Linked DNA regions of Oreochromis niloticus. The main gene of each other region encodes a partner of the protein of the gene in region 2 in a complex. Links are inferred from orthologs where the notes say so. Each region holds a gene or a part of one and is shown on either strand. Other genes may lie near its edges. The genes, in order: brat1, ints9, ints7 and ints11.

What was found.
Region 1: the proteins of ints9 (region 2) and brat1 are in contact, whole or in part, in a cryo-EM structure (PDB 8UIB), measured with the Homo sapiens proteins. The link is inferred for Oreochromis niloticus from reciprocal best matches to the Homo sapiens genes INTS9 and BRAT1. Residues at the interface, in NP_060720.2 of Homo sapiens: Gly276, Met277, Gly279, Glu280, Cys282, Ser283, Asn284, Ala286, Leu287, Arg290, Asn291, Tyr315, Asp317, Ser318, Ala319, Gly320, Ser483, His484; in NP_689956.2 of Homo sapiens: Ala406, Pro407, Cys416, Pro460, Gln506, Lys507, Arg508, Cys510, His511, Pro512, Arg517, Glu545, Leu549, Gln552, Asp556, Pro557.
Region 3: ints9 (region 2) and ints7 share a complex: the UniProt entries of both Homo sapiens proteins name them as parts of the integrator complex. The link is inferred for Oreochromis niloticus from reciprocal best matches to the Homo sapiens genes INTS9 and INTS7.
Region 4: the proteins of ints9 (region 2) and ints11 are in contact, whole or in part, in a cryo-EM structure (PDB 8RC4), measured with the Homo sapiens proteins. The link is inferred for Oreochromis niloticus from reciprocal best matches to the Homo sapiens genes INTS9 and INTS11. Residues at the interface, in NP_060720.2 of Homo sapiens: Glu127, Gly198, Tyr199, Ser200, Gln201, Lys202, Tyr231, Glu338, Phe339, Ile342, Phe343, Glu345, Gln352, Lys354, Val355, Tyr356, Leu357, Pro358, Glu359, Pro360, Pro361, Arg511, Arg512, Tyr513, Glu514, Lys515, Ile516, Glu517, Ile518, Met519; in NP_060341.2 of Homo sapiens: His94, Gln97, Ala98, His137, Leu138, His139, Gln140, Thr141, Lys274, His277, Tyr278, Lys280, Leu281, Phe282, Ile283, Pro284, Trp285, Arg291, Phe294, Ser449, Pro450, Ser451, Ile452, Pro453, Val454, Gly455, Ile456, Ser457, Leu458, Leu461.

What each region holds. Positions count from the first base shown.
Region 1 is NC_031971.2:13,424,749-13,432,351, reverse strand, and holds the start of brat1 (integrator complex assembly factor BRAT1), read right to left. Parts: upstream 3,010-7,603; 5' UTR 2,751-3,009; coding exon 2,624-2,750; intron 1,952-2,623; coding exon 1,803-1,951; intron 1,708-1,802; coding exon 1,560-1,707; intron 1,331-1,559; coding exon 874-1,330; intron 552-873; coding exon 444-551; intron 301-443; coding exon 209-300; intron 123-208; coding exon 19-122; intron 1-18. Other genes in the region: eif3ba (eukaryotic translation initiation factor 3, subunit Ba), read left to right, coding at 3,292-3,391, 4,399-4,591, 4,717-4,836, 4,927-4,984, 5,165-5,293, 5,409-5,566, 5,822-5,953, 6,055-6,121 and 7 more. UniProt on the Homo sapiens protein: Component of a multiprotein complex required for the assembly of the RNA endonuclease module of the integrator complex.
Region 2 is NC_031980.2:1,194,853-1,202,191, reverse strand, and holds the start of ints9 (integrator complex subunit 9), read right to left. Parts: upstream 3,011-7,339; 5' UTR 2,851-3,010; coding exon 2,698-2,850; intron 2,419-2,697; exon of another isoform or gene 2,386-2,418; coding exon 2,258-2,385; intron 2,168-2,257; coding exon 2,056-2,167; intron 1,982-2,055; coding exon 1,919-1,981; intron 1,608-1,918; coding exon 1,468-1,607; intron 1,327-1,467; coding exon 1,240-1,326; intron 1,023-1,239; coding exon 902-1,022; intron 791-901; coding exon 656-790; intron 170-655; coding exon 58-169; intron 1-57. Other genes in the region: pla2g7 (platelet-activating factor acetylhydrolase), read left to right, coding at 3,511-3,574, 3,974-4,101, 4,314-4,464, 4,793-4,886, 4,987-5,055, 6,077-6,248, 6,839-6,952. UniProt on the Homo sapiens protein: Component of the integrator complex, a multiprotein complex that terminates RNA polymerase II (Pol II) transcription in the promoter-proximal region of genes.
Region 3 is NC_031980.2:13,634,034-13,641,726, forward strand, and holds the start of ints7 (integrator complex subunit 7), read right to left. Parts: upstream 3,015-7,693; 5' UTR 2,858-3,014; coding exon 2,764-2,857; intron 2,627-2,763; coding exon 2,497-2,626; intron 1,601-2,496; coding exon 1,454-1,600; intron 963-1,453; coding exon 825-962; intron 721-824; coding exon 674-720; intron 413-673; coding exon 213-412; intron 124-212; coding exon 1-123. Other genes in the region: dtl (denticleless protein homolog), read left to right, coding at 3,772-3,823, 5,632-5,769, 5,862-5,954, 6,035-6,096, 6,289-6,409, 6,502-6,567, 7,390-7,505, 7,599-7,672. UniProt on the Homo sapiens protein: Component of the integrator complex, a multiprotein complex that terminates RNA polymerase II (Pol II) transcription in the promoter-proximal region of genes.
Region 4 is NC_031984.2:8,378,752-8,385,666, reverse strand, and holds the start of ints11 (integrator complex subunit 11), read left to right. Parts: upstream 1-3,900; 5' UTR 3,901-4,096; coding exon 4,097-4,124; intron 4,125-4,229; coding exon 4,230-4,327; intron 4,328-6,117; coding exon 6,118-6,191; intron 6,192-6,287; coding exon 6,288-6,516; intron 6,517-6,634; coding exon 6,635-6,733; intron 6,734-6,814; coding exon 6,815-6,849; intron 6,850-6,915. Other genes in the region: cptp (ceramide-1-phosphate transfer protein), read right to left, coding at 248-770, 2,753-2,882, 3,052-3,055.

The DNA.
Region 1 (7,603 bases), on a different chromosome or scaffold from region 2:
TCCTGTCCTTACACTCACCATGTGTGCGATCTGAGGTGTGTTTGTTAGACACACACTGATCATGGAGATGCAGGAGGTTTTGCTCTTCAGCTGCTCAGTCATGGCAAACCGATGCATGTCTCCTACAGGCCCAGATCTCATGTTACTCCATAGCATAAATGCAAGATAACACAGATTTTTCTCAAGAGTGTACGTCTTTGTGGGTCACCTGCAGTGTTTGTGCCTAGTAGGTTCTGGCCAGATATGATGTCGAGGGGTAGCAGCAGTAATCTCACAGACTGAGCTGTGTGGACACGGTCACTGCACATAAAACCAGAAGAAAAGGAACAATATTTTGTAGACAGATACTATAATGACAAATCCCCATGGGTTTTTAACAGAAAACCCAACCTCTACAGACGTTCGTGTACAGAGTTTGTGTTGGCTGAAGAAGCTGTGCTTACTGATGGCCGCCGCGGAGAAAAGCAGCTGCAGCATGGACGAGGTCAGCAGGTTTCCTGGCGTTCAACATGAAAGTTAAAAGACGGGTGATGCGTTGGTCTGGGAGGCGGCTGCAGAAGCAAGCACAGCAAGAGTCTATAAACTAAACCTGAACAGCAGCACAGTCACTAATGTATACTTAAAAACAACCACTAGGTAAATGCTGTGGATGATGGCTGACCATTACACTGTCCTGTGGTATTGCATAGATCAATAGAACAAAGCCATCGATGCTATATCTATTAGCAGATTTGCATATTCAGCCAGGAAGCTCCACTGTCCTCACCTTCCTCTTAAAGTCACTACTTAAAATCCAAATAATCTCTAGTAGAGACAAAAAAGGACAGACAACTCTATAAAGCGACACTCTCCTGTGTTTTATGAGGGGTTTACCTGCATGCAGCTAGAATGACATCCATCAGAGGCAGTGTGAGTTCACAACAATCTGCTGCCACCATTTCTTCCAGAGAAGCTGTGACTGTCTGCAGCAGCTTGTCCCGCAGAGGAGGCTTGGTCTGGCCCAGGAGCAGAGCCAGCAGTCTGAGAGTCTGCTGACACTGATGAAGCTGTGTGCTTCCCTTGGGAACCCCCAGCGCCCTCTTGAGGTACTCTGAGATTGCATCGACAACAGCGGTGCAATCTTGGTTTATTTCCATGGGCTCGGCTGGGTTTTCTACAACTGCTTTGGACGCACGTGTGTTCTGCTCATCTTCCTTCTTATCGGTGCCATTACATCCTACAGATGAGACAGGCTGACAGAAGAGCAGGACGTGGGCGAGCATTTGATTGGCAGCTGAGGCAACAAATAGGCTTGTGTCTGTCTGGAGTTGCAGAAGTGGCTCAATGAAATCTAAAAAAACCAAACAAATATAATACATATATATGAGGATGCATCAGAATTACAACAATATAATACCTATAGCACAGTGCCTCTCGCCCTATGGCAGCTGGGAATGATCCAGCCCCCAGTGACCCTGAATTTGATATGCAGGAGCAAACAAATGAAAGGACGAATAGAAATAGCATATTATCCTTAATACTAATGATCCCCCCCTCATGAATCGATGCAAAAAACTCACCTGCTTGTATAAAGAAACTAAGACCATTTGGATGCTGCAGTGTGGTCCTTAAGCCCTGGATCCAGCCAATCCGTATGCAGGGATCCTCCCAGAGCCCTAACTCCTGCCAGTGCTTACAGCTAAAGACAAGATCCAGAACTAAGGACTCCTGCAAGAGAGAGAGGGAGGCACAATGATAGGGCAGATAAGCATTGGAATATTTTGTAACAGTTTACTAAATACACCAGGCGTCAGAAGCTCTACCTTAAGAATTCTGAAGGCGTCCTCAGCAGCAGCCAATAAGCCGATGAGTCTGAGAGTGAAGGAGAGGACACCTGGGGCTGAAGCCGTGTCATGAATCACAGCAGATATGAACTCAAGCAGACACGGACAGGCCTCCAGCAGAGACTCCCCTTCAAAGAGTGAAAGAAAAGAAAAACAAGGATACAGATTTACACGGGATCACTTTTTTATGTGCACCATAAAGAGAAATGATAAAGGTACAAAAGACATGAAAAAGGAACATTTTAAATTTAAATTTATCTTTATTAATGCAATATAACATATATATAAGTATCTTTGAGTTTTGGGATCTTTTACAAAATGTAAATGTTATCTGCAAATATCGGTGATATAATCTGAGTAATAATCACCTACAAATACAGTGATTCGCTGCATGGTATTAAGTTTAGATCAGTTCTCTGGAGAATGAGGGCTCTTTAAAACACACCTTTCAGCTTTTCATGTATTTTGAAGCTGGTTTTTTTTCGGAGAACTGGAATGTAAATGTGCTTGTCTCTGTCTCAGCTTGTGTCGTTCAAATATGCTATAGGCTTTAAATCAAGCAGAAGTGACAGTCAACACAAAAAAGACAGTCATCACATGTTTGTTTCATTTACAAAATATTTGTTATTCAACCCAGGTCAGAGGGTTACACACTGAACTTAGAATATAGAAATAAAGTATCGATTAGATGGTATCGATACTTTTAACAATATAATATTTGAATTGATCCTCCTATTAGAAAGATAGTGGGAGAGGAGGAAGAATAAAGACACGATCCTGTTAGGGTCAGTACTACTAACCAGCCTCGGTGAGCGCTGTGAACCAGTCCAGCAGTTTCTCCAGAATGGTGTCATCGGGCAGCGAGCTCCCTGAGGCCGCCAGCACCTCACAGACCCGGGGCAGCAGTGACACACACTCTCTGTCCATGGGGCTAAGGTGTGCGTGTTAATAACCGCCGTTGCTAGCTTAGGTTTTTACAGCTAGGAGTTATATAAAGTCTACACATTATCTAACCACTCATGTGGATGTAAATGTGACCTCTAGCTAAATTATGCAGTACAGACCAAACTGAAGCAGCCACTTTAAACACACAAAGTCGTTGTTTTTTGTACTTTACTAAACGAACGTCTCGCGGGAAACAGTTTCGGATCTACCGGTGCGTCGTTTCCTTTTCCGTGCTTCTGGGCGGGTCTCACGCCGCTGCGCTCTTCGCTGATCTCTAAACATCACTGTGGGGGAAAATTACCACCAGTAGCTGTTGTACTTCCGGTCCCTATGCTTTACAGCTTTACTGCTTCTGCGCAGCCTTTTCACGCGCCTTTGAGGAGGTTCCGGTGTCGCGTTTCCGTCACGTCGTCCATTTTCACGGATCCGCACATGGTGCTGCACCGGCTGAGGATCGCCAGCCTTTTCGTTTTCGGGATTTTTGCTCCGCTGTAGACAAAAGTCCGTGTTGTAGTTCTGTTAAATGAAAGAAACGGTGGATATGGTGGACGACCCCGAGTATGAAGAGGAGGAGCCTTCCTTCAGCGACCCGGAGGACTACGTGGACGATGTGGATGACGACGGTAAGTAGTCACAGGAAAAACGCCGGCTTTCCGGCCTGCTGTTAGCAGTTAGCTAAGAGCTCAATGGTGGGGATGTTTTAGATGCTACAAAGCTAGTTAGCTAGCCTCTCTGGTCACCGGCACGTAGTAATAGTAAATAGTGAACAGTGACCATGAGCTGGATGCATAAGCGTAATTACCAGGAATACAACAGCGACACCACCCTTTTTCTCCAAAAAACTCCCAACATAACGTTATCACAGTGTACTTAACGCCCGTTAAAGCCTCACCCAGACCCCACACAGCCACTCACTGGGGCCTGTGCGATACGATCTGAAAAACCGAAACAGGATTTTAGCTAGTAAAGCCGTTAGGGCACATTATTTTCTCTGTGCTGTTTGCTTATATAAAGTAGTTTAAATGGGGCAGCTGGTTGTAGCTCAATGGTAATCCTAACCCAGGTCTGAGGGGCGTTTGCTCATTAGAGCTTTTCAATTGTGCAAGTTTTGCAGTTGTGGTAAAATGACTCATCAGATACACGTGTTTTGTACTTAGTAGTCACAATATAATTATTTATGTATAGTAGAAACCTTGGGGTAAATTTACAACAAAATTGGTACCATTTAATATTAATTTGCTGAAGTTAAACAAGGACACAAATGAAATAGCTTCTGTGAAGCTAAACACGCCAGCATAGCGGTTCTTTATCCTTATCAAAATGATGTGTATTAAGCAGTGAGTGTAAAGGAGATGTACTATTGAATTAACTTTATTATGATGTAATTATATTTTGTCTACTTATAAATCATGAAGCTTAAACCTGCACATCTCTAAAGAAAATTTAAACAAAAGAATTGTTTGTTTCAACGATGCAGTCTTCCCTTCCAGTAACTGAAGTGGTGGCTATAAAGTTTAGATTGGTTCATGTATATGAAAAGAAGGTCGACATTAAAATGAGATGAGAACCCCAACCCCACACAGTCCTATCAGCTTGTTCATCACCCTGACCCTCCTCCTTCACTTTTCAGAGCTTCTTGATGACATCCTGAGGGAGAAACCCCAGGAGGCAGACGGCATAGACTCGGTGGTGGTGGTGGACAACGTCCCTCAGGTCGGCCCGGAGCGTTTGGAAAAGCTCAAGAACGTCATACACAAGATCTTCTCCAAGTTTGGCAAGATCACGACTGAGTTTTACCCAGAGGCGGATGGTATGACCAAAGGGTATGACCGCAGTTGTTTTCTTCTATGTTCTTTTGTGCATCTATTTTGATTCAAGGTGGATTTCCGGATTTGAAGCAGAGTTTTTGTTTTGTTTTTTAGTAATTGTTTTTTCTCCTCGTTTACAGTTACATCTTCCTGGAGTATGCTTCTCCTACTCAAGCCCTCGAAGCAGTCAAGAACGCAGATGGATATAAACTCGACAAGCAGCACACGTTTAGGGTCAACCTCTTCACTGACTTTGACAAGTGAGTATGCAGTACCACTCAATGCATTGTCCAGGTATTGCTTGCCAGACTTGGAATACAAGTAAATAATCGTACCTTTGTTTTTCTCAGATACATGAACATCAGCGATGAATGGGAAGCTCCAGCAAAGCAGCCTTTCAAAGACTTTGTAAGTGTTACCTTAACTTTTCAGTCATAATATAATGAATCAGTTTATAACACTTAGAATTAGTTTGGCAAAAATAGCTTCATGTCAGCACTTTCATTATTAAGTTGACCTTCATAAATCGACAGGACAGTCTCTATCCTGAAACCGTGCAAGCGACAATAACTCTGTTTGTGTTTTCAGGGGAATATGCGCCATTGGATCGAGGACCCAGATTGCCGTGACCAGTACAGTGTGATTTATGAAGCTGGAGAGAGGACTGCCATTTTCTCCAACGACGCTAAAGAGCCAATCACAGTTGAAGAGAGAGCGGTGAGTTTTTAATTACTCACGCAGAGTTGGTGGGAAATGCAGGGCTCGTATCAAACATGACTGGTCAGTAGTCACTGGTTTGGAGAGTTCTGATGTTTTTCCTGCTTTGATGCAGCGCTGGACAGAGACGTACGTCCGATGGTCTCCTAAAGGTACCTACCTGGCTACGTTCCACCAGCGGGGAATTGCACTGTGGGGCGGCGAGAAGTTCAAACAGATTCAGAGGTTCAGCCATCAGGGTGTGTCCCTCATCGACTTCTCACCATGTGAAAGGTAATCAAAAGTCGACTTTAATCCAAAGAAGCACATTATAGTTATATTATAGAGTATCCCGTTCAAGTGTTTATTCATTAGTGATTTATTTATTTCCTGTAAATAAGGCAACGTCACCTAAATCCTATGGGTTGTTGCACCATGACATGGGGACAGCAAAGGATGATTAATGTGCAGATAAAGCACTCTAAAGAGGTGCCGAGTTGGCCTGTGAGCCACAGTCTGAGCTTAATGTGTGGTTGTGCTGGCTTCCAGGTATGTGGTGACCTTCAGTCCACTGATGGACACCAAGGAGGACCCACAGGCCATCATCATCTGGGACATTCTGACCGGACAGAAGAAGAGAGGGTTCCACTGCGAGAGTTCTGCACATTGGCCTATTTTTAAGTCCGTATTATGCTTTCTCTCTTTTAAATCTAATTTAAATCAAATTTGCTGCTTCTTGCAGAGTTTGGATGTGTCTTCTAATTTTACATGTTTGTTATCAGATGGAGCCATGATGGGAAGTTCTTTGCAAGGATGACACCAGACACACTGAGTATCTATGAAACTCCGGTAAGTAGGCCTGAAAACAGTCTAGATGCGTTTAAATGAAATGTTCAAATGATATTAAAGGTTTATATTTTGTTTTGTTTTTTTCTTCTTGTAGTCTATGGGCTTGCTGGACAAGAAGAGTCTCAAGATTACTGGGATAAAGTAAGAGTCCTTCATGCGCTCATGCTTTAAATTGTGACCGCATTTTGTGTAGAGATATTAATTTTTGTGCATCTTCAGGGACTTCTCGTGGTCTCCTGGTGACAACATCATAGCATTCTGGGTACCCGAGGACAAAGACATCCCAGCCAGGGTGACTCTGATGCAGATGCCCTCCCGTCAGGAGATCCGCGTTCGCAATCTCTTCAATGTCGTTGACTGCAAGCTGCACTGGCAGAGAAACGGGGATTATCTGTGTGTGAAAGTTGACAGGACTCCCAAAGGAACACAGGTACTCATAGAAGGAGGGCAAACGGCTTATATGTCACAGAATTTTAAAAAACAAGAAATAATAAGTTGACTATTTTTTTGCCTTCTTAGGGTGTCGTTACCAACTTTGAAATCTTCCGCATGAGAGAGAAGCAGGTTCCTGTCGATGTGGTGGAGATGAAGGGTAAGACATGTATTTGTACAAACACAGAAATGAGCTGCAAGTAATTCTAATTTCCACAGAAAGGAAGTTAATCTGTTTCCCTTCGTGTTGTTTTCCTTCTAGAAAGCATCATAGCGTTTGCATGGGAGCCCAATGGCAGTAAGTTTGCTGTCCTTCACGGCGAGTCGCCAAGAATCAACGCCTCCTTCTATCATGTCAAAAACAACGGCAAGATCGAGCTCATAAGTGAGTAGAAGGACAGCCATGCAATGTTATGGCAGAGCGTTGTTGTTTCTAATGTGTCCACTAAACTGAATGTGACACTTTTCCTTTCACAGAGATGTTTGACAAGCAGCAGGCCAACAGCATCTTCTGGAGCCCCCAGGGACAGTTTATGGTGCTGGCTGGGCTCAGGAGGTAGGTTTTATCTGAGTGTGTGTGTGTGTGTGAGATGAATATAAGAAGCCACTGATGACAAAGTAAACATTTTTTCTGACACCTCGTATGAGAGCTAAGCTCCTGATTCTAACGCGAATCTGAGGCTTGTGTTTGTTTAATATCTGTAGAGATGAGTGTATTTGTACGTGGATATAACCGCTTTGCCTCTCCTTTCAGTATGAACGGAGCTCTCGCCTTTGTAGACACGTCAGACTGCACCATGATGAACATAGCGGAGCATTACATGGCCTCTGACGTGGAGTGGGATCCAACGGGTCGCTACGTTGTCACCTCTGTCTCGTGGTGGAGCCACAAGGTGCGTAGCGCTCCACAGGCCTCGTCAGTCCTTTGCAGATGAGAGGAAATGCAATCTGATCTTTTTCTGTCATCCATTCACTTCATTTTTCTCCACCTTTACGTGCGTGCTAGGTGGACAATGCGTACTGGCTGTGGACGTTCCAGGGCCGACTCCT
Region 2 (7,339 bases):
CGAGAATGACTTCAACATTTGGTACCACGTCAATCTAAGCGCTACATTAAAACCCACCCAAGTTACTGCAGAATTCTCCCAGCATGCCATCTGGGTTGGCAGTAGGCATCTGAGTGAGGCCTGTCAGAATGAGGACGTCACTATTCTTTAGGGAACTCTGGTCCATGGGCTGGGAGCAGAGAAGAAGAGAAACACTGCAGAGTAGTTGTGACAGGACAGAACAGACTAGATTCTCCAACAATTACAGCGTGCACTGACAAACACTCGCCTAAAGATTTAGCTTCCAAAAGAAACTCTGAGCACAGGAAAAAGGAAATCTGTGACTAAACGAATAACAGACTGCACTCTTTACACTCTAGATCGTGACAGCTTTGTCCTCAGTCCCTTCAAACTTTAACTTTCTCCCCCATAAAGACGACATCTGATGACCTCCGCTGGACCCTCAATGACAAGTTTTGACACCTCAGTAGAAATCAATGACGTGGTTTAGCTGCACGAGCAGAGACCACCCTTCCTGACTGCTGCACACTCATTTTATCAGTTTGTTCTGTAAACAGGCCCGAAATATTAGCAAAATCACTCAGCTCAGGAAAAAGCTTCAAGGGTTACGCCCAGTAGACTTTGAAATGGTGAAGCATTAAGCCTGCTGGCCTACCTGAGGATGTGTGGTGAGTAGAGACGAGCCAGACACATAGGACACCTTCTCGTGGTGAGACTGGATGATCCAGTTGGAGCTGCCCAGCGAGTAGCCGGAGCTCAATGGGGAGACTTGTACAGCTCCAAACAACTCCTGCAAGAAAAAAAAAAAAAAAAAACGAGAGAAAAGACAAGGAGAAGTCACCATTGCAAGAAAGCAAAAATGTGAAATCTTAAATATCTCCTGGACATAAGCAGTTCTCACCACTTTCTGTGAATAACCCACAAGCTGCACTTTGCTGAGCGCAGAGTTAACCTCCTGCATGCTGTAGCATCGCTTCCACATCCACACATCAACTGCATCCTTCAGCGGCCCCGGGAGCATCCTAATGCAATAACATAAGTATTCATTTGAACGGTGGAGTTACACCACCCTGCTAGTGGAGGTGTAACAAAACACCAGAAAAATTAGGTGAAGGTAAAATGAAACTTCAAAAATGACCAGACTAAAACAAAGTCAGTAACTGTAGTTCATGTGTCAACTCTCACACACACACACACACACACACACACACACAGAATATTTTTACAAAACTAGTCTACCTTTGTATCTCCTTGTTCTTCCAGGACGTGGCAGACTGGGCTTTAGGAACTCTCTCCATGAAGTTCACGAGCTCCTCCATCAGCAGCCTAAGGAAGAAAAGAGGAAGAACGAGCATAAACGCAACTGAAGACGTGTGACCTGTATCTCATTTTACCAAATGAAATAATGATATCACAAAAATAATATAAAAATAGTAAGATGTGGTAATCATCCCCTGCATCTGTCACCTGCCAATCTGCAGCGTGGGCTCCGTGGCGTACACTGTCCCGGTGAAGCCGGTGTGCTCTGTGATGTAAGGCAGGGCCATCATGCAGTGGTAGTTTGAGATAAGAATGACATCGATGGTGGACAGGTCCAACAGTTCTCTCTGTGCGTTATTCAGATTAAATAGATATCATTGTTGTACTTCAGGTATTTATTAAGATAGGACCTACTGTGAAAGTAAAGACGCAGTAATCACACTGTGCTGATCATAGTAACTGATTTCTCTGAGTGGATTATCCTCTTCTTGTCAATTGTGGCAGGCCTATCAGGTTTCTTTTTTTTCTTATTTGTTTAAAATAGGTGGATTTGCTCCAACTCTGATGCTTTACAGTGGCCCCTGTTTTGCAGAGACATTCTGAATGAGTAGCACAAGCTATAACACTGATGCAGAGATGAAGTATCAGGGATGTCTACCTCAGGGAGACAGAACTCTGGCTGTGCGTCAACAAACACCCTCCCTGCACACTCCTTCAGCTCCTGCAAGCATAAGGCAAAACTGATTTTCCCCCCCACAGATAAATCGGCATGTGTTCATACAAAAACTGCAGTACGTTGAAATATACGCCAAGTAACCGAAGCACATTACAAACAGCTTCTCGTGCCTTTCCCAAATTTATTGTTCCATCCTTAGAGACCCAACCAGGTAGCTTGGAAAGTCTTGGACTGAAAAAAAAAAAAGGATCATCATCATCAAGCAAAACACATCTCTTATCCATGAATGAATGAATGAATGAATTACTGTCAGTGACTCACCTGTGCACCAAGGGCAGGGGCAGGAAGTTGAGGACAGAGGTGGTGTCCAGTCCACAGTCCAACATGATGGTGGTGGACTTGAACTTGAGGACATTGCAGGGCAATGTAGGATGACCCGACAGACAGTACTACAAGGAGGAAATGCACCCTTAAAACCACAGGTGTGTGTAGGTGTACAAAGATACAGATACAGTAAAGCAGGATAAACCCGACACCAAAATGTCAAAGGGGTTTTGTTTCCGTGTTTTCGTATGCATAGTTAAACACTTCACGCTGTACTAACTTGCTGTTCGCTGCTCACCTTTTCCACTTTATTAAACTGCACCCAAAAAAACCGCTATTAGCTTCCAGCTAACAGTCACTTTTGGGTGACTATAAGTTAATCACTTTCGACTATTTCTACATTAATTGTTCTCTTTACTGATCTGCTTTTTACTCACCAATTTCATCTTTAACAAAAGGAGTTGCTGATAAATGAGTTGACAACAGTTAGCTTTGCTAACGCAGCATCGTTCTCCGCTGCTTTTCTGCTCCCTTCTCGCTTTGTTTCCCGCTCGGCTGTCCTCTACTGCCCCCAACAGACGTGGAGTCATATCAAATGTACCGACACTTTAAAAGTGCCATTTTTGCTGAGAAGCCAGCGCTCATATGCAGCTGCTTTGGCAACAGCACCTTGGCTCACACGATATTAATGAAAATATTAATTAAAGCGTCGATGATTGTTGTAAACAACTGCACGTGCGCGCTGATTCCAGAGCTGTCAGCGAGAGTCGCTGCGATAAACCAGAGCCGTGTACAGAGCAGTTGACACAATTTCAAAGGCCTTGGTTGAGTTCATATTTAGAGCCATCTATGCCGTAATTCGAGTAAAGATAGAAGCATGATTGCCAACTGTTAAATAATATGACATGTAGGTCATTAAGGTTTAAGTTGGGGGACGCCATTAGGCCGGCAGAGGCAGGACTAATACAGTGACTCAACACCGTTCATCCACTACTCTGGTCTAGCCCCCTCCTATGCTAGCAGCGGCTAACTGACAAAAACAATAACCACTCCCAAAGCAGTACATTTATCCTGTGATTGCTCTCAGTCCACGGTAATATTGCGAAACTGATGTAGAAACACCGGGCAGCGCTCGCACTTCTGTATCTCCGGTAGGCCTTTTGTTTTATTTAACGAGTGTTACTGTTACCGGCAGCTAAAGTGGAGATAGAAAACGTTTGGTTAGGTCGCTATCGAAAGTGCTGTAGTCGATGTTTTCTTATGGAGGGTTTCTTCAGTTAGGAGTCAAGAGATTGAACGCGTGGGCGAGGACAGGTAGGAGTTAACACGCCACGTTTTGGGTTTTTGTTTTAACTGACAGCACAAAGACTTTGACCCGGTTAGTTAAATGAATCAAGTGTGCGGTTGTGTGGAGCTCTCTGTGATTAGATCAAGGCGTAAACTTCGCGACTCGGTCTCACATAACATTTAGTACAGTGAAGAAGTTTTTGACTTTCATTTGATACTAATAAACTACTTAATAAAAAGCTACAATACTACTAATAATGTAAATGAATGTCAAGCATATATAATGATACATTCTGCATATACACATTTATTCATTGCGGTCAGTAACATCCGTGCAGAAATAATACGATTTTTAGTCCTGTTATCTTTCCCTTTTAGAGAGGAGCAGTATTGATGTACAGATGTGTGCGTGTTTCTATTTACCAGACCAGAAGAGGTCCGCGCTAAGTTTCTTCACCATGGGGAGCAGCTGCAGTAATAACCTTGGGATCCCTCCAGGCAACGGCCCAAACGCTGTGGGCTGCACTGACTTCATGATGGACCACACTGCAGAGGTACAAGCAAAAGAAAACCTTTGTTCATGCTGACATGTAACAGCTGAGCTCACATATTTGTATTTGACATTCTCGAGTGTGCTGCAGATGCTGGGCTGGGTACCCACAGGTATTATGGAAAGCAGGTATTTGGGCCACGCAGGCTGCTGACATCACGGGAGCAAATGGCCTTCTGCTGAGTTGCTTGAACTAGCTGTCTGTCTCTCCAACAGGGCACATTCTTCCGGCTGTACTATCCCTGTCAGGAGATGGAAAGTGCCGAGAAGCCTGACTGGGTCCCATGCAAGGAGTACTTTAACGGTCTGGCTGACTTCATGAAAATGAACAGGGCCCTCAGTGAAAGGATCTTCAACTACCTCTTTGGTGAATAAATTAGGAAAATCCAGTATTTCTAATGATGTCATGGCATAAAATGGACTATTTTTTCTTTGTTTCTTTGCTTTCTCAAGTCTTATATGCTTGCACACTTATTAATGAATTTGCACCCCCACCCCCCTCTCCATCCTGACAGTCTATTTCTTTGTGGTGTAAAAGTCAAATGTATTTGCTCAGGACAGCAATATTATATGATATTATATGACTTTAGTCACTAAAAAAAAAAAAAAAAAAAATAGAAAGCTAGTTTATTTCAGTTTCTAATGTGGTTAAAAAAATAGCCAATGTGAATGTTCCTCATTTTTATCTATTTCAGGGTCCTTCAAGATCCCAGCCTATTTGGATGCTCCATTTAAATCGAATGAAAAATGTCCCGTGATCATCTTCTCCCACGGCTTGGGAGCCTTTAGGTACACACACAATGCATTTGTTCTTTTTATTTCGTCACTCCTGCAGCAATAACCCGTTACAAGTTCTGCTCACACTGTGGCTCCTGTGATTGTTTCTCAGGACCTTGTATTCAGCAATATGTGCAGAAATGGCCTCTCAGGGCTTCATCGTGGCATCAGTGGAACACAGGTAATTTTTCTATTTGGTTCATATGTAGTTTTCATTCCATTAATCACCAAAACCTTCTATAGCAGGGTTGTCAAACATAGGGTCCAGGGGCCAGAATCGGCCAGGCAGAGACTCCAATCGGGCCCACTGGAAGGCTATGGAGTGCACAGACTTTGGAACTTTTAACTGTATTTAAAATTTTACAGACCATTACGTCCATGCTACACCAGATAGTTACTAATAGATTAAAAAAAATTAAATGACAGAAAAGTTCCCATTTTTCGAGCATCTACTATAGATGTTTTTACTATAGAAAAAAAGTATATTATTCTAAATGCATGACAGTGTGCACAATGAGCTAGCAGCACTTTTTCTCTTATTTTACACATTTATCATAAAACTGAGAGAAACTTTTGAAATTACACTTCTTTTCCTCATATGAAGATATCTCAGGGATTAATTGTGTGTTTAAACATCTTTACACTGACAGTTTCTGATCTTAAGTGGTCCCCCCACTCGGAGTGGGTCGTATGTGGCCTACGATGTAAAATGAGTTTGAAATCTGTGTTCTTTGTAATCTTCATTCGGAGGAAATCGTAGCTGAACGTTTGTCCTCTGCTATTGTTTGCTTGGCTGTCTGTTTACGTGTGTAGTAGGAGTGGAAAGGGTGTGCAGACAATGGTACGAACCAGGTCATCACAATTCTTTTCAGTATGCAGACAAGGGGGACCATATGGAGATGAACATAATGGCCACAGCTGGCCTGTCGCTTATGGTGATGGAAGTGTTATTTTGCTGGATTTTAGCAGCCGGTGACATGCTGACAAAGCTGCAGACAGAGCACATGGCTGCAGTGTGAGAGCAGCAACATGAGAGTGACTTTGCTTCTTTCAGAGAGAGGGGGTCATACGCTGCCTCAAACAGGATGTGTTCTCTACATGTGTCTAAACCCTAATTGTTCCAAGTAAAGTGAAGGAAGTAATATCTGTTCCTAGGGCTGGAACTACCAGTTATGGTTTTATTTTTTATTTTTCTCCCACAGAGACCAGTCAGCGTCAGCTACATATTATTTTTGTGATAAGCCAGAGTCAGAAAGGTCAAATGCAAGTTTGACAAAATCATCCGGTGCCACCCAACAGAACTTGGTAAAGGAGTGGATGTACTACAGAGCTCTGCGGCACGGAGAGAGCGAATTCCCCCTCAGAAACAAACAAGTATGTTGTCGCAGAGATTACCCACAGACTCCCTCTGTGGGTTTCAAATTCAGTCTCTTGATTGCATAACTTCATACCCGTTTGCTCGCAGGCAGCTTGGCACTGATGTTAAAATCAAACCACATCCTTGTTTGTTCTAGCTGACATTCTTCTGTTTTCATCTGGGCACGTTATGTTAAACAGCAAGCATGTGGTCACATCCCGTTTATCTTAAAGCTGAAAGGAATCAGGGACTGCAGACAGCAGTTGGCTTTTTAAATCTACGATTAAGGCGAGGGATTTTTCTTTTTTTTTGTTCATCAGAGTAGCTTTGCAAAACTCACAGTTCAACACAATCCTGGTTTATCTTGTACTGAGCCCAAGTGCAGCAGCTCAGCTCCACTCTAGCTTCCTGTCCCCTCCCTTTAAGAGAAGCTCCCTCTGATTTGCTGCCCACCATAAACAAAAATTTAGGGAGACCGGGAGTTTATAAATCCCATAGTAGGGGAAAAAATGATGGTTTTATTTGTCGTATCTGTACAGATGTCGTGAATGTAAAGGTAAATGGCACCTTAAAGAAACAGAATGAATTCATTTGTTTAATCTTTCAGGTGAAACAAAGAGCAGATGAATGCATTCTGGCTCTCGATAAACTCACTGAAATCAACTCAGGAATCTCAGTGCAAAATGTTCTGGAGACGCAGTTTGACTGGTCAACGCTGAAGGTAAGCTTTTGGTTACCTCTGGCTGCGACATGCATTGTGTGGTAGCAAACACAACAATAGAAATGTGTCACAAGATGCAGAAAGTATCTGTAACACGAGCATGAGGCAAGTTGGCAAGTGTCACAAGACTCCAGGAAACGCAATTCATAAGAAGACAGAAGTGTGGGTGTGTGTTAGAAGTCTCTCTGAAGTTTGATCAAGGCTTAAAAGGCAACATTTGTAGCCTTTTAGCTTTACAGTGTTTAAAGCTAAAGTTGAACTCTTCTCACCTTTGAGGCGAACAGCTGACGCCGTTACCTGTGAGAGCAACGTGTGCTGGTTACTGACACATGACAGAGTGGTACATACATTAAAGGGTTAACCTAGCAACCAGCCGTCGGCAACAAA
Region 3 (7,693 bases), about 12 Mb from region 2:
CTGAGTGTTTTCTCTTATCCACAGGTGAGGAGCCTTTTTAGCCAGGAGCTTTAAATCGTTAACTGCAAGTCTCTTCACAGCTTTTCTCGGATCATCTTTTAGGTACTGAAGGAGGAGCTGCAGCTGCAAACAGATTAGGAACCAAATCAGAGGTGCACCACAACAAACTAAAAGAAATGACACATAGCTGTGTGCGAGCAAGTTGGGTCTACCTGCTTGGGGATATCTATGAGGGAAGAGGCGGCCAGCTGGGTGAAAGTATGCAGGGAGACAATGACCATGGGGGTGGAAGGATAAGAGTTCACCAGATGCTGTAAAAGCTCTCTGCTGCTGGACGCCAGGCTGGCGTCATGATGCATGTGCTGCAGCATGGGGATCAACTTCAGCTTCAGTTCCACAGGAGTGTCTAAACCTGAGGTGGAAGAAAAGACCAATACAAACATTATGTAAAAGATGCAGTGCACGTGACAAATGTTTTCTTTGGGTTCAGCAAAATGTGTATTTGCAGTGTTTTGTGTTTCTTTTTCTCCGTGATTTCAGAATGAAAAAAAGAATAATTTTAATGGCTGTACTCAGTTTAGTGTGACAATTAAAAATAAAAGACATCAGTGACAATGAAGCTTTGAACCACGACAGCTCTCGTTTATCTTCACGTAAAGAATAAAGATCTTACCTTGAATCATCTCACTAACTTTGTTGCAAATTCCAGCTGCAAAGTCTCTGAAAATAAAAAATAAAAATTAATTAAAAAGCCACACAACAATAAAATCATCTAAAACATCATCCCATACATCAGAGCTCACTTTTAGTCATTGTTTCCTTACTTTGACTGTGCAGAGAAGCTTGCAGCAGCAAAGATGGCTGCCTCGACTTCCACATTGTCATGAGAGTCCAGGCTTTGGCGAATAGTGTGGTGGGCATTCTTCCTCTCTGGGATGATGGAGGCCAAACTACCAAGCATCCTGAACACATAAGACAGCAGGAATTTTCTTTTTAAAAATCTGAGATGACTGAAAAGATGGTGCACAACAAAACTGAAGAAGATAGTGCAGACAGGGTGGAGTGGATGGAGACTAGTATTGGGGTGATTTGTGACAGAAGGATAACAGCAAGAGTGAAGCAGAAGTTTTGCAAGATGTTAGTGAGATCTGCTAACATGTATGATGAAGATGTTACGATTCTTACAGAGAATGCACAGGATAGGAAAGAAGGGACAGCTCAGGTTGGGCATATTGGAGTAAAAGTTAGAGAGGCAAGGCTGAGATGTTTTGGACATGTGCAGAGGAATGACACTGGATACACTGCACAAAAGATGCCAAAGCCAGGCAAGAAGGCCACAAAGGAGGTTTGTAGATGTAGTGAAGGAGGACATGCAGAGGGTTGACAGAAGAGTGTGCTAGGGATAGGGTCAGATGCGCCACTCGCGTTTTTAATCATCATTTCACATTGTTACCTCAGAGTGATGGCTCTGGCCACAGGGTCATTACTGTGGATGACTGAAAACACCCGTTTCACAAACTCATCCACATTGAGAATCTTCTCCAAATGTTTCTCACTCTGTTGAGTCACTTTGAGTACACAGAGACGCAGAAAGTTGTTACTGGAAAAGAGAAATAAGATGTTTGTGGCACAGTAAAGCTCATCTTTAACTTCTCGCACCTTCTAAATACATCTTACCAACTTCAAAAACATTCTATTAAAAAGTGCATAAGATGCGCACATTTATTTATTTAGGCACTTTTGAATAAAATTAAAGTTTGAAAAATCCACTTAAGTAAGAATAGTTCTTATTCTTTCTTAAAGTGAAATAAATTCACTTTTTCCCCAAATCCTCTTATTTGGAACCTTCTCTCTCTCTTTTCCGTCAACTTTTTCCCTTTCTTTTTTTTCATGAAGAATAATTATAGTTTTTTTATTTTTAAAACCTTTCTCACACCAACATTTTTCCCTCTGTACTTACATCTATTCATACTTTTCTTAATTTTTTTTTTATTTTCTAAAGTAAAATAAAATACACAGATACTCCCTGAATATCTCACTACAGTTCAAACACAACACAATAACACATTAACAGGCCTGCCCTCAATGATCAGTTTACTGGGTATGCTTAGTTTAAAGTATCTTGTACTTTTAAAGATTGATAAACATCAAGTTCATTAGAGACATCAAAGACACGCAATTATTCATTAAATATAAGAAGAAAATCTATTATCTGTTATTTTTTGGTGTTTCAGAGTTTGTTTATTTTATTTTTGCATTAGCTTGGGAGTGATTATGTGAACTACATGAGTGTGCGAATAGTGTTTACATTTTCTTTTGACGGCTTAGGCTTGTGGTTAAACTGTACGCTCAATTACTTAGAGATGTTATTAAAATTTTCTCTACACTCTGAAATGCATTGGGATGCCTGTATTAGATTCAGCTATAAAGAAAGTGTGAAACAACTGTCAGTAAAGTAGCCTTTAACAAATAAATGATCATCTAAAGCAATCATACCCGAGCCTGAAGATGTCTGCTAGTTTTAAAAATGCAGAGTTGATGAGGATGGGAAATGGGTACTTCTGGAAGAGTTTGGGGAACAAAACCACAGCCTCACACTGCTCACCGAGCTTCCCCGACCGCAACCCTGAAAATAAAGTGGAAATGCTCCAGTCACAACAAAGCAGGAAGCTTCCACTTAACACATTACGAGGAAACGACACACCGGATCAGAACACAATCAATGAACCATATGCTAAGTCTTTAGCCAGCGAGCTAACACACCTTTGTCCAGCTCCATGAGAGCGGAGTTAGCGTCGAGCTCCTGTTCGCCATAACAAGCCTCTGACAGGAATGAGCGTGCGGTGGAGAGCGACATTACTGTGCAGTTTTTACCCCTTAAAAGAAGATACACTCATGAGATATTAGCATTTCACTGTTCAGGCGGTATTCAGGAAAACACTGAGGATACAGAGACAGAACATCCGGTCTGGAGATTGACTTTCACAATAAAACGCCAGTTGTCATGGTCGCGAGCTACCAAGCTGTTTTAGGGACTATTTATAAAATAGATTTACGTTAAATATCTACGTGAAATATGTATTAGTATATTATTCTAGTATCACCTTAGCATCAAATGATAGATTATGGATGAATCGGTAACACCATAATACTCTAAATAACAACAGTTACATTGGAGATATCATAGTCATGGTGACTTTTAAACCTTTGTTACTTTAGTGCTTCTGTTGAAAAGAACATTTTTACTTGTGATTTTCATAACTTTTGTTGCAGTCACAGATATTCATTTTCTAGTTCAACACTGCGCACAACCTGAAATTGTGTGTTGTCACACATACTTGCACCACTAAATGCACCATATACATGCAGCATTTGTTTGGCAGTGGTTGTATACAACAAAGTGTATTTACTAAACTAACAACTGTCTAACAGGATAAACATACTATGCAAAGAGGGGCTAGTTATTAGTTTAATCGTTTTAAAAAATATTTATTTATGCTGAAGGGGCGTCTCCTTCTCCAGTTATGGTGGGAAACTTTACAAAGAAAGCGGAAGCAGAAGCGCTCCTGCCCAGGAAGTCGCCGTTTCCACCAATGGTTGCGCGTAACGCAAGTTTAGCGGGGAATTCAGTCCTTCTGCTCGGACGATCTATTCGCGGGAAACAGTGTCCCGGCATCGGTAGGGAAAGCGGACCACCAGTAGCTAAACATCGAGGAAAACGTTACGTTTTTATACAAAAGCCTTAGGATCGAGTTGTGCTGCAGTGCAGGGATGCTTTTCCGCTCAGTGGTGGACAGAGGAGTGGGCAGACGGAGGCAGAATGGTGAGACAGGGATGGGTTTTTGGGGAGATCTGGGTTATCTGCACGGCCATGGCTGGGCTTTAGCTAGTCTACCATGGAAGATAATGCAGTCTAACATCTCTGCTTTATATTTGGAGGAGTCATGCTGCCAGGAGGGCTCCTAGAGTATCATTTGCACTTGCTTTTCTTTTGCGTTCAGTGTGGACTTTAACGTTTAACTCTACTTTCTTCGTGAATGTCTTTGTCGGGCTGTTCAGACTCCAACGGGTGGTAGATCAACAATATGTCCTGCCTTATACCTGTAGTACATATCAGGACAGTTTCTCACATTTTGATTGGCTTTGGTTTATACAACTCAAGAGCAAGTGAGAAGATGAGCGTGCCGATCTATGATCGTAGGTCACTTTATTAGGTACACCTGGCTAGCACTGGGTTGGACCCTCTTTTGTCTTCCATGCGTAGATTCAACAAGTTGGTTGAAGCGTCCCTCAGATATTTTGATCCATATTGACGTGATGGCATCACACGGTTTCTGCATATTTGTCGACTGTACGTCAACGATGCAATGTCCTGTTTTACCACATCCCAATGGCTTGAGATCTGGCGTCTGTGGAGGCCATTTGAGTACAGTGTGCTCATCGTCATGTTCAAGAAACCAGTCTGAGAGGAAGTGAGCTCCGTGACATGGTGTTATCCTGCTGAAAGCAGCCATTACAGCCATTAGACAAGGGTGTCACGTAGTAAAAGGTCACGTATAGATAAAATTGAAGTAGGCCAAGCTGCTGCAGACTACCAGACTAATGGAAAGTGGGAAGATGTTTGAGTATATTATGAAAATTTTAAGGATATGTATATAAAATATGAGCCTCACTGTTACCAGTCTAAATTCATTACACATACAGGTGATTATAGTAAATGGTCCCAAAAGAAAAAAACCTCAAAATCTTCTGGTAATTCAAAGAATACATCCTATTTTTTCCTGTTAAATAAAATAGGAACTTGCCCATTGATTCGTTTATAATGAAAACCCAGCTAATTTTCTGTTTTCTATTCATTTATTTTATTTTTAATGGTGTCTAGTGCTTATTTTGGTATAGTATAGCAGGTCAGGGGTGATTTGTTTGTTACTAAGAAGGCTGTAAAAATGACAATGAGTCAAATCTCTGGACCGTCAGTTTGGACTCTCGTGGCGTGATCGGTTCACAAGTACAAACCGAAAATCCACATTTAGGCATTCTTTGACATTTTTACACGGGCCGGTTGTGGCCCCTGGGCTGTATGTTTGACACCCCTGCATTAGAAGATCGGTACACCGTGTTCATAAAAGATGGTCAGCAACAACAACATGATACTCAGTGTGCCAAGAAAATACCCCCCACGTCATTACACCACCAGCAGCCTGAACTGTCGATACAAGGCAGGATGGATCCATGCTTTCATGCTGTTTACATCAAATTCTGAACTTATTATCCAAACATCACCGCAGAAATCGAGACTTTTCAGACTAGACAATGTTTTTCCAGTGTTCTGTTGTCCAATTTTGTTGATCCAGTGTGAATAGCAGCCTCAGGATCCTGTTCTTGGCCTACAGGAGCGGCAGCTGGTGTAGTCTTCTTCTGCAATGACTCCAAGGTTCAATGTGTTGCATGCTCAGAGATGCTCTTCTGCATATCTTAATTGTAACAAGTGGTTATTTGAGTTACAGTTGCCTTAATATCAGCTCAAAGCAGTTTGATGATTGTCCACTTAAATCTGCAATGATTTTTCCGTTAGTTTTACTGCTGTGTCTCATTGATTTCCCTCCTCTGACCATGCATCATTCTCTTCAGCTCTCCCTGCAGATCCCTGGTCCAGGTACCCTCTGAGCTCCCTGCTTGAAGGCTACCGATGTGTCCGACATGATGAACATATCTCCTATGGGAACTTTGGCGACTCTGTGCCACCGTTTGGATTAGCTTTCTCCTCTGGTAATTCATTTGTGCTTATCATTGTGAGTGCAAGGACCTGTTATCATTAATCTGTCTAACTGCAGTGTCTCGTTTCTGCTGTTTGTTTTCAGCCAGGGACCAGCAGAACATCCTCGCAGTAGCTAATGAAGAAGGCATTGTTAGGTTCTACAACACAGAGAGCCGTAAATATCCACTTCTTAAAGGTATTCTTTTGACTTGTGTTCATAATTGTCATGTCATGTATTTTGAAATGTCGGTGGCTAAATGTGTGTGAACCTTGCAGCATGGCTGGCTCATGAGAATGCTGTCTTTGATATCGCCTGGATGCCAGGGGAGGCTCAGTTAGTAAGTGCAAATTTATTCTGTTTAGTCAGAGAATTGCAGAAAGTCAGATCTTTATGCGTCACCCTCAAATGCATGACTCATGTAATTCCATCTACCTTACTAATTTTTCTTTTTGTTCTTTATTTTGTTGGAACTCATTAAAAACTCTGAAGCCTTTTCTTATTATGCTTTGGTCATCTGTGATCTCTTCAGGTAACTGCTGCGGGTGACCAGATGGCCAGGCTCTGGGATGTGAAGTCTGGAGAGTTGTTAGGCAGCTTCAAGGGCCACCTCTGCAGTCTTAAGTCTGTTGCATTTGCACCAGAGGAGAAAGGTATACCTTTTACTGAGCTAACACCGTGTTGGTTGTGCATTGATGATATATTGTTGTATCATGTGATTAATACATTTTCTTTTGTCACACAGCTGTGTTTTCCACTGGAGCCAGAGATGGAAATATTATGGTCTGGGACATGAGATGCAGCAAAAAAGGTATTGATCAGAACAATAATAGTGAATTTAGCAATAAATTTTAAATCATATCTTTAGCCACTTTGTTACTAGCAGCCTGTAGCAAAAACACTTAATTTTTTCCTGTTTCTTTAGTTGAATTTATGAAAAATGCCACGACCACTCAGTTTGAAAGGCATAAAATAGTACTTTTGCACCACCAAGGTGTTTCCCAAAGAACCATTAGCCTGAAAACCTGGGTGTATTTTGGCATTGTGTGCAGTGTGTCCTTCAAAGAAAGCCCTTTAGTTGATCCGTCTGCTGTTAACTGAAGCCTCATCAACATCGGTCTCAGGCTGTTCTTAAGAAAGGGAGCAGGGAGAAAAGTCTGGGGTATGCTAACTCACACAAAAACTGGACTGAAAATCAGTAACTGTTAAACGGACTCGTTCTTATAAAGCGCATTTCTACTCTGAGCACTCAAAGCACTTTTGTGCAACTTGCCTCATTTACTCATTTACACCTATTCATACAAGCACTTTTTTTCTATGCCTTTCCCATGTAAGTGCTTTCTATCTAATATTCACACACATTTATACTCCAATGGATGCATCGGAGAACAATGCAGGATTAGTATCTCGCCTGATGATATTTGGCATGCAGACTGGAGCAGCCAGGGATCGAACCCCCAACCTTGTGATTAATGTCCTTCAAGAAGTCTAGAGAACTATTCCTGAAGACTACTTAAAGAAATGACAAGAAAGCTTCCCGAATAGAGTTAGACTATGTTGAAGAATAAAGGTGGTCATACAAAATAGTGACTTTCATATGAATGCTTTAATCAAACTTGTGTCTTTCCCTCAGATGGTTTCTACAGACAGGTGAACCAGATCAGCGGAGCTCACAACAAAGCAGAGACAAACCCTCCCTCTAAAACGAAGAAGAGACGGGGCGGCATGCGCGGCATGGCTCCGAGCGTGGTGAGTTTTCTCGACAATCAGCTGTTTAATGGAATGAAAAGAGCGATGCTGCAAATGGAAATCTAATCTTTAGCTACTGCATCTTATTTGCAGGACTCCCAGCAGAGTGTTACAGTGGTTTTGTTTAGGGATCAGCACACCCTCATCTCTTCAGGAGCTGTTGACGGGTAAGAAAAGAAAGGCTTCTT
Region 4 (6,915 bases), on a different chromosome or scaffold from region 2:
TGATTTAAAAGCAAAAGATTAGTTAATAAAAATACATTCAAAGGTCCATTACGTGGAGGAAAATGTACACAATCTTATGTTAAAACATGTATACAGTAGTTTCAAAATTAATCTTAGTGGTATTACAGCTAGTTATGACACAATCCAAGCAGCAGAAGCATCTTGTTCAGCAGCCTTTCACCAAGGACAAGTTACAAATATTTAATTATATAAAGTATGAGCCGTCAGATATTAGCACTTCTTGCTTCTAAGGTAAATCAAGCAGGTTATGTTGAGCATATAGGTCCTCTGTGATCTGGTACACCTCAGAGATGAGAGGTAGGGCCTCCCCCAGCTTGGCCACAACTTGCTCAGGCGGGCCAACATTCATTACTTCGAAAAAGGTTTGGCGACCAGGAAGCACGAGGAACGCCATGCCCGCAGCCTTACGGATCATCCACGGATGGTGCTGGGCAAGGGACTCGTTGTAGGCCTCTGCACACAGGGCAGATGTTTTACTGTCTTCTGTGCTGGTGCGCAGGCGATCCAGGAAGAGCTCCAGCCACCTCAGAGCGCGGTGGAGCCTCAGCAGAGTACGACAGCCAGACTCTGGGTGGCTTCCTTTCTTGTTCACATCCACGAGATTATTGTCCAGTTCGTATTTTACCATCGACTGCACAGTAGCATAGTGAGAAGCGTTCTCACCCTTCATATAACTCACAAGGATCTGGATCTTGCCGACAGCATCCTTAGAAATGAAGCCAAAGACACTTCCCAAGCTGTTCAGAAACCTATTACAAGGAGTAAAAACACACTCAGTTAACACCTGGGTGTCCTTTTGGTCTACTATTACAGCTGAGAGTATAATCAGTAAATTCTAAATGTCTGCAAATTATAATCAGTTCAGTTCACATGAGAAATTCCAAGAATTCACTCACAGACCAGAGCTGAAGCTCAACTCTTTCCCTTTTATGCTGTTCCTGCTGCAAAATATTTCACATACTTTTCACAATAAAAATGCAACATTTATGAAAGCTGCTGCAATTTGAATTTCAATTATAATTACAAATTCCAGTCATTTCTAAAATATTATCAAGATGCAGTTATTATTGTGCCTCAGCCTGTTTCGTAATGCTATCGTGTTGCCTTTGATTCCTTTACTTTTATTTTTTGCTCCTAAAATTGAAGAGAGTCCAAACAATACCCTCTGTCAAGCTGTTGTGTGTTTAGTCAGTTGAATTTTAAGTTAGTTGTATTTCAGTGAACCTAACTAACTAACTAAACCTTATAATCAAACAGCCCTGAAAGTCACACCGTTTGTTGCTGTGTGACATTCAGGATTTTTGTGGTTCAGAGTGGGCCTTCAAAAGGGCCTGGCAGGGCACGCAAGCACAATCGATTGATGTAAAGTAAAGGCAATGAGTTTGTGTTACCTTAATTAAACAATATTAAATGAATTTTATGGATATTTTGACCCTTTGATAAACAAAACTGTTTGTTTGCCTTTTGAATGCAACAAAACCCTCACTATACAGCTCTGGTATTCGTTTCTTTTTTCTATTGAATCCTTTAATTGCTCTTATATAAGAAAAACATGGAGCTTTAAAAAGGAACGCTCATGCTAGCATTACCAGTTTTGCAAATACTTTGTATTGTCGGCCTGCTTCTGTCATCACATTTTATTGATTTTTTTTAAAACCAGAAAGTCCACTGAGAATAAAATCTCTTTTTCCACAGAGACCTAGCCAAGAAGGTACACTAATACCAGGAATATGATCCTGGGATCAGTCTGTCGGTAAAGTAGACCCTTTCATATGTTTTGATCAGCCACCTATCCCAGCCTGTGATATGACCCTTGTTTCACAGACATTCGACTGCTGTAGTTTTGCAATTGAAACTACAATATAACTTTCAATACAATCCAATTTTATTTATTTAAAAATCACAAAAGTCACCTTAAAGTGCTTAACACTATAAGGCACAATAACCCTACAATAATACAGAGAAACCCCAACAATCAGACAACCCCCTATTAACAAGCATTTTGGCAACAGTGGGAAAGAACATTTCCTTTTAACAGGAAGAAACCTGTTAAAAGGGAGAACCAGGCTCAGTCAGGGGCAGCCATCTGGTGCAAGCAGTTGGGGCTGAGGGAAAGGAGACATGATACTGAGGCACAAAGTTGGATGCAGAAAACAGAATTGAACAAAAGGGGGATTTGATTTCAGGTTATACAATTGATTTTGAAAAGAGCTTTAATGTGTTTTTCAAACCTGTGGACATCTCCTGCAATAATGAAGCTGTAAGGACTCATAAAATAATTAATTAAAAAGCAGCAAATTTTAGCCCACCCCTATGTTCTTTGAGGGTCTGTAACCTGGAAAGTTTTCATGCCATGAAGGTGACACTTTTATTTATTCATTAAACATATGAAACTTAACATGTATGTATATATATATATATATATATATATATATATATATATATATATATATATATATATATAGAGAGAGAGAGAGAGAGAGAGAGAGAGAGAGAGAGAGAGAGAGAGAGAGATAGATAGATAGATAGATAGATAGATAGATAGATAGATAGATAGATAGATAGATAGATAGATAGATAGAGAGAGAGAGATTTTTTTTTTAAAGAAGAAGAGTCAGCTAGATCAGATATAAATCTCAAGACTTGATCTTAGCTCACAGTAAACACTCTGTCCTACATTTACCTTGCTGTGATCTGCTCGCCTTAGTTTACTTCTACACTGATCACTTACTTTACAAGCCCACGCCATCCAGCGACGTACTGTTCTAGATAGACTTCTTTATTTTCCGACAGACACAACTTAAAAGTGTCTAGGACCTCCTGGAGGGAGAACTTCTGGTCTTCTGAGCCTGCCATGGTTTCTACCAGGAAGTGCAAATGACACAAACAGGCACGTAAAAAATGAATGAAAAAAATGTATTTCGGGGCTACAAACAAACCGGAACTGGGTAAAAATGTAAGCCCTGTGGTAAACGATCAAGAAGTGAACTCGTCACCTACAAGAAAAGTTAAAATTGAAAGAAAAATTACGCATTTCTTTTTCTCGACAACGTGAAGTGACAGATCCTGTCTGTTCTTATCCGGTTCTACTGCGCAGGCTCTAAATTGGCGACTTTGTCTTCAAAATAAAAGCGAGGGAAATTTTTACCTTAATTGCTTCTTGGACTTATTGAAAGAAGTTATTATAACCCAAACACTGATCCCCCCGCACCTAAACAAATATTTTTGTTGCATAAACGTCACTGATGTGTGAAAAATAAAAAGTGACAAACAACATAGCCTTTGTATGCCAGAAATGAACTTTTATAAATGAATGCACCTGAAATCCCTGCAGGCAGTGCTGAAATTAGGTTAAAAAAAAAGAGCTCCAGACAGGTGAACTGCTACCTGAAATGTCACTTGAAATGGTAACTGGTGTGTAGGCAGTGAAGCAATAATAAGTAAGCAAAGAGTAAGAAGCAGCTGGGCAGGATGAGAGGACTTTAAATATCACTTTGGCCAGTTATCCCGTGACACCGTTTCAGTTTCCAAACCATAGCAGGTCTTATTAGCATCTTGTAAACCTTCCCTTTTATTCTTAATGCTATCCAGACTACGTGATGCCACTTTTTCTTGGTTACTCATTTTTAGAGGGCTCATACTCCTTATGCTGAAAATCTATTCACACATCTATCAGTTCAGTATAATTAAAAGTGGAAGACATAGTGTTTCTTACAAGAAATATAGACACTTGAATTTGTTTTCAAGGTTTGCTTGAAAGGAAGTATAGATTATCAAAATGACATATGGAAATAGTCTTCAAAACATTACCCAGGTGCTTTCCACCTGTTTTCTACAGGCTTTCATAGCAAGGGGTGTATTATTGTGAAAGCACTGGACGGAAGTCCTTCCTGTTAGCCCGACGCTGATAAAAAAATAAAGTCGGTGCATGAAATTAGCTGCATGTTTTAAAGCTACACACAATAAACGTTCCCATATATTTCAGAAGTTATTCAGCTGACACATCCTGGACGTTTAGGTCACCTTGGTGTCATTTACCTGTGTATATAAAAAAAAGGCTGCCCAATGAAAAAGCATGCCTGAAATAAAAGTAACGCCACTCGGTGAGTACCGAAGCTAGCTAGCTAGCTGCTGCGCACTGTTGTGTTTATTACCATTACTAAAGGAGTGTAATTCTGAATTTTTATCTTCTGTTCTGCCCTTCCAAGGTGCTGGACAGGATGTGGGCAGGAGCTGCATCCTCGTCTCCATCGGAGGCAAAAATATAATGCTGGACTGTGGGATGCACATGGGCTACAACGATGATGTGAGTGACATAGTGCATTTGTTATAGCAAACATTACAGTCATGTAATTTAAACACTATGGCATTTTTTACCCTTATTGGTTTCCTTTATCTTATTAGTAGTTATAAACAACCTGCACATAGCATACTGACAAGAATCCCAAATCAAAGCCCTACATGAGTCTTGGGCAAAATTAAAGACTCTAAAGTGAAACAGAAGTGTTTCAAACATGACAGCAAAAGTTAAGACTACCTAGGCTGCTTTACACTGGGAAGGTTTACAAGACTGTAGTGAGATCTGCTGACAAAAAGACAGGAGGCAGGTCTGAAGAAGTTAAGATTTTCAATAGGATTAGAAATGAGTACGTCTGAGAGACATTTCATGTTGAGTGATTTGAAGAGCTAAGGCTGAGATGGTTTGGACATGTTGGAGTGTTTGGGGGTTTTTTTTGTTTGTTAACATATATAGTTTTCCTTAACCACATTGAGGGCTGAAGCGCAATTTCCAACCCTTCTATTTTGCTGATGTGTGCTATACAGGTTTTGGCAAATGTTTTGGGGCTTTTGGGGAGCCAGCAGATATCTGTATGCAGTTTTGGAGTTGTTACTCAGAAAAGTAATGTGGTACACATTACTGTTTACTTTTTGTAAAATGAATGCAGTATATTTCTAAATTACTCATCGGAGAAGTTAATTCATTACACTGCTACTACTAACATCACTTTCACATTCCTGTGTAACTTGACCTGAAATACAGTGTCACATAATTATCATTTAATATAAACCCATGACTACAGTCCCACACACTGACACAAATACCTATCCTAATGAGGACACTAATGATATTTCTTATTTAAAACCAACAATAACACAAAGTAAAATTGAAAATCAGCCCAAAGAGTCTTAAAAGGGGTAACCACAGTGATTCTACTTAAGAAGATAGAGAGAAGAGTCTGACTGCTCATCAATGCTTTCGTTACATGTTGAAGATCAGGCTCTACCTGCTGGGCCTGGGTCTGCATACACTCAGCTTGAACATAACTTTGGGTTCTTCACTTTTTTTGTGTTAGCCTGCTGTCTGCGGGATGTTTTTGAAGAACCGATGGTGTGTTAGCAGTATCACACAGTTGTTACTGTCTTGGACTGTCTTTGATCCTTACCATCAAATTTATTGCAATAAAAGGACAAAGTGGGGGTTGGTGGATCAGACGGTGGTCTGAAGTCTGACGATCCCTGGTTTCAAAAACTAGCTTGTGGTATATGGAACATCACTTTTTGGGTGGAGAAGGAGCCTGAGTTGGTGTGTGAGGATGAGAGATTCAAATTTGATATAGTTGGACTCACCTCAGCGAGTAGCTCAGGCAATGGAACCTCTTGAGTTGCCCTACAGTAGGTGAGAGCAGACAGCTTGTGTTCCCTACTTGTACGTTGAGGTTTTCTCCAATGGATGAGAGGGTTGCTTCTTTGCGCCTTTGAGTCAGGAAACGCGCATTGACTATCGTTTGTGTCTGCGCACTAACTGACAGTTCAGAATACCCAGACACTGAGTGGGGTGGGACTCTGTTATTCAGTGATTACATTGGCAGTAAAGGTGTGACCAAGCTGGCGGAGGTGGGTGAGGTGGGCTGGGCTTCTCTATGCAAACTGCTGGTATTTGTGTACATTCTGACTTGGAATGCATTTTAAAAACAGCTATTATGAAACAGTTCTTCTAGAAAAGAGACTCTCCTTTTGAATGCACTGTTTCTACCTTTGAAAGAAGAAGATTTCCATTTAGTAACAGTCCTATAACAGATTGTTTTATCATTGCAGAGACGTTTCCCAGACTTTTCTTATATAACACAGAATGGGCGTCTGACAGATTTCTTAGACTGTGTGATCATCAGGTTTGTTGTCATATTTGTTATCTTCTTTATATTGCACCTTTTTTTAAATCATCTCAACCTTGTGTGTAACATAGTACACCTTTCTACGTTTTTCAGCCATTTCCACTTGGACCACTGCGGTGCTCTGCCCTACATGAGTGAGATGGTGGGCTATGATGGACCCATCTACATGACCCATCCCACCAAAGCCATTTGTCCCATTTTACTGGAAGATTTCCGGAAGATCACCGTTGACAAAAAAGGAGAAACCAACTTCTTCACCTCGCAGATGATCAAGGACTGCATGAAGAAAGTGATTCCTTTGAACCTGCACCAGACTGTCCAGGTGCAGTGCTGACATCATTTTTGACCACACACGCACACACATCTAATAGTTGCTTCTGCGCCAGCTGCTGCTTCTCTTTTGATGGCAATTCAAGCTGTTTGTTTTGTGCTGGTGGCAGGTGGATGATGAGCTGGAGATCAAGGCGTACTATGCAGGCCATGTCCTGGGAGCTGCTATGGTTCACATCAAAGTGGGATCAGAGTCTGTGGTCTACACCGTAAGTGTAAACAAGTCTGCGCTCTGTCACAGTAGGTGAATTTATCAACTGCAATCTGAGAATAATTTCTTTTTATTTTAGGGTGACTATAACATGACACCGGACAGGCATTTAGGGTAAGTGAACTTTACTGCATTTCTTGATAATCTTCTGGTCTTTATGTCAACACATTCAGCAGAAAG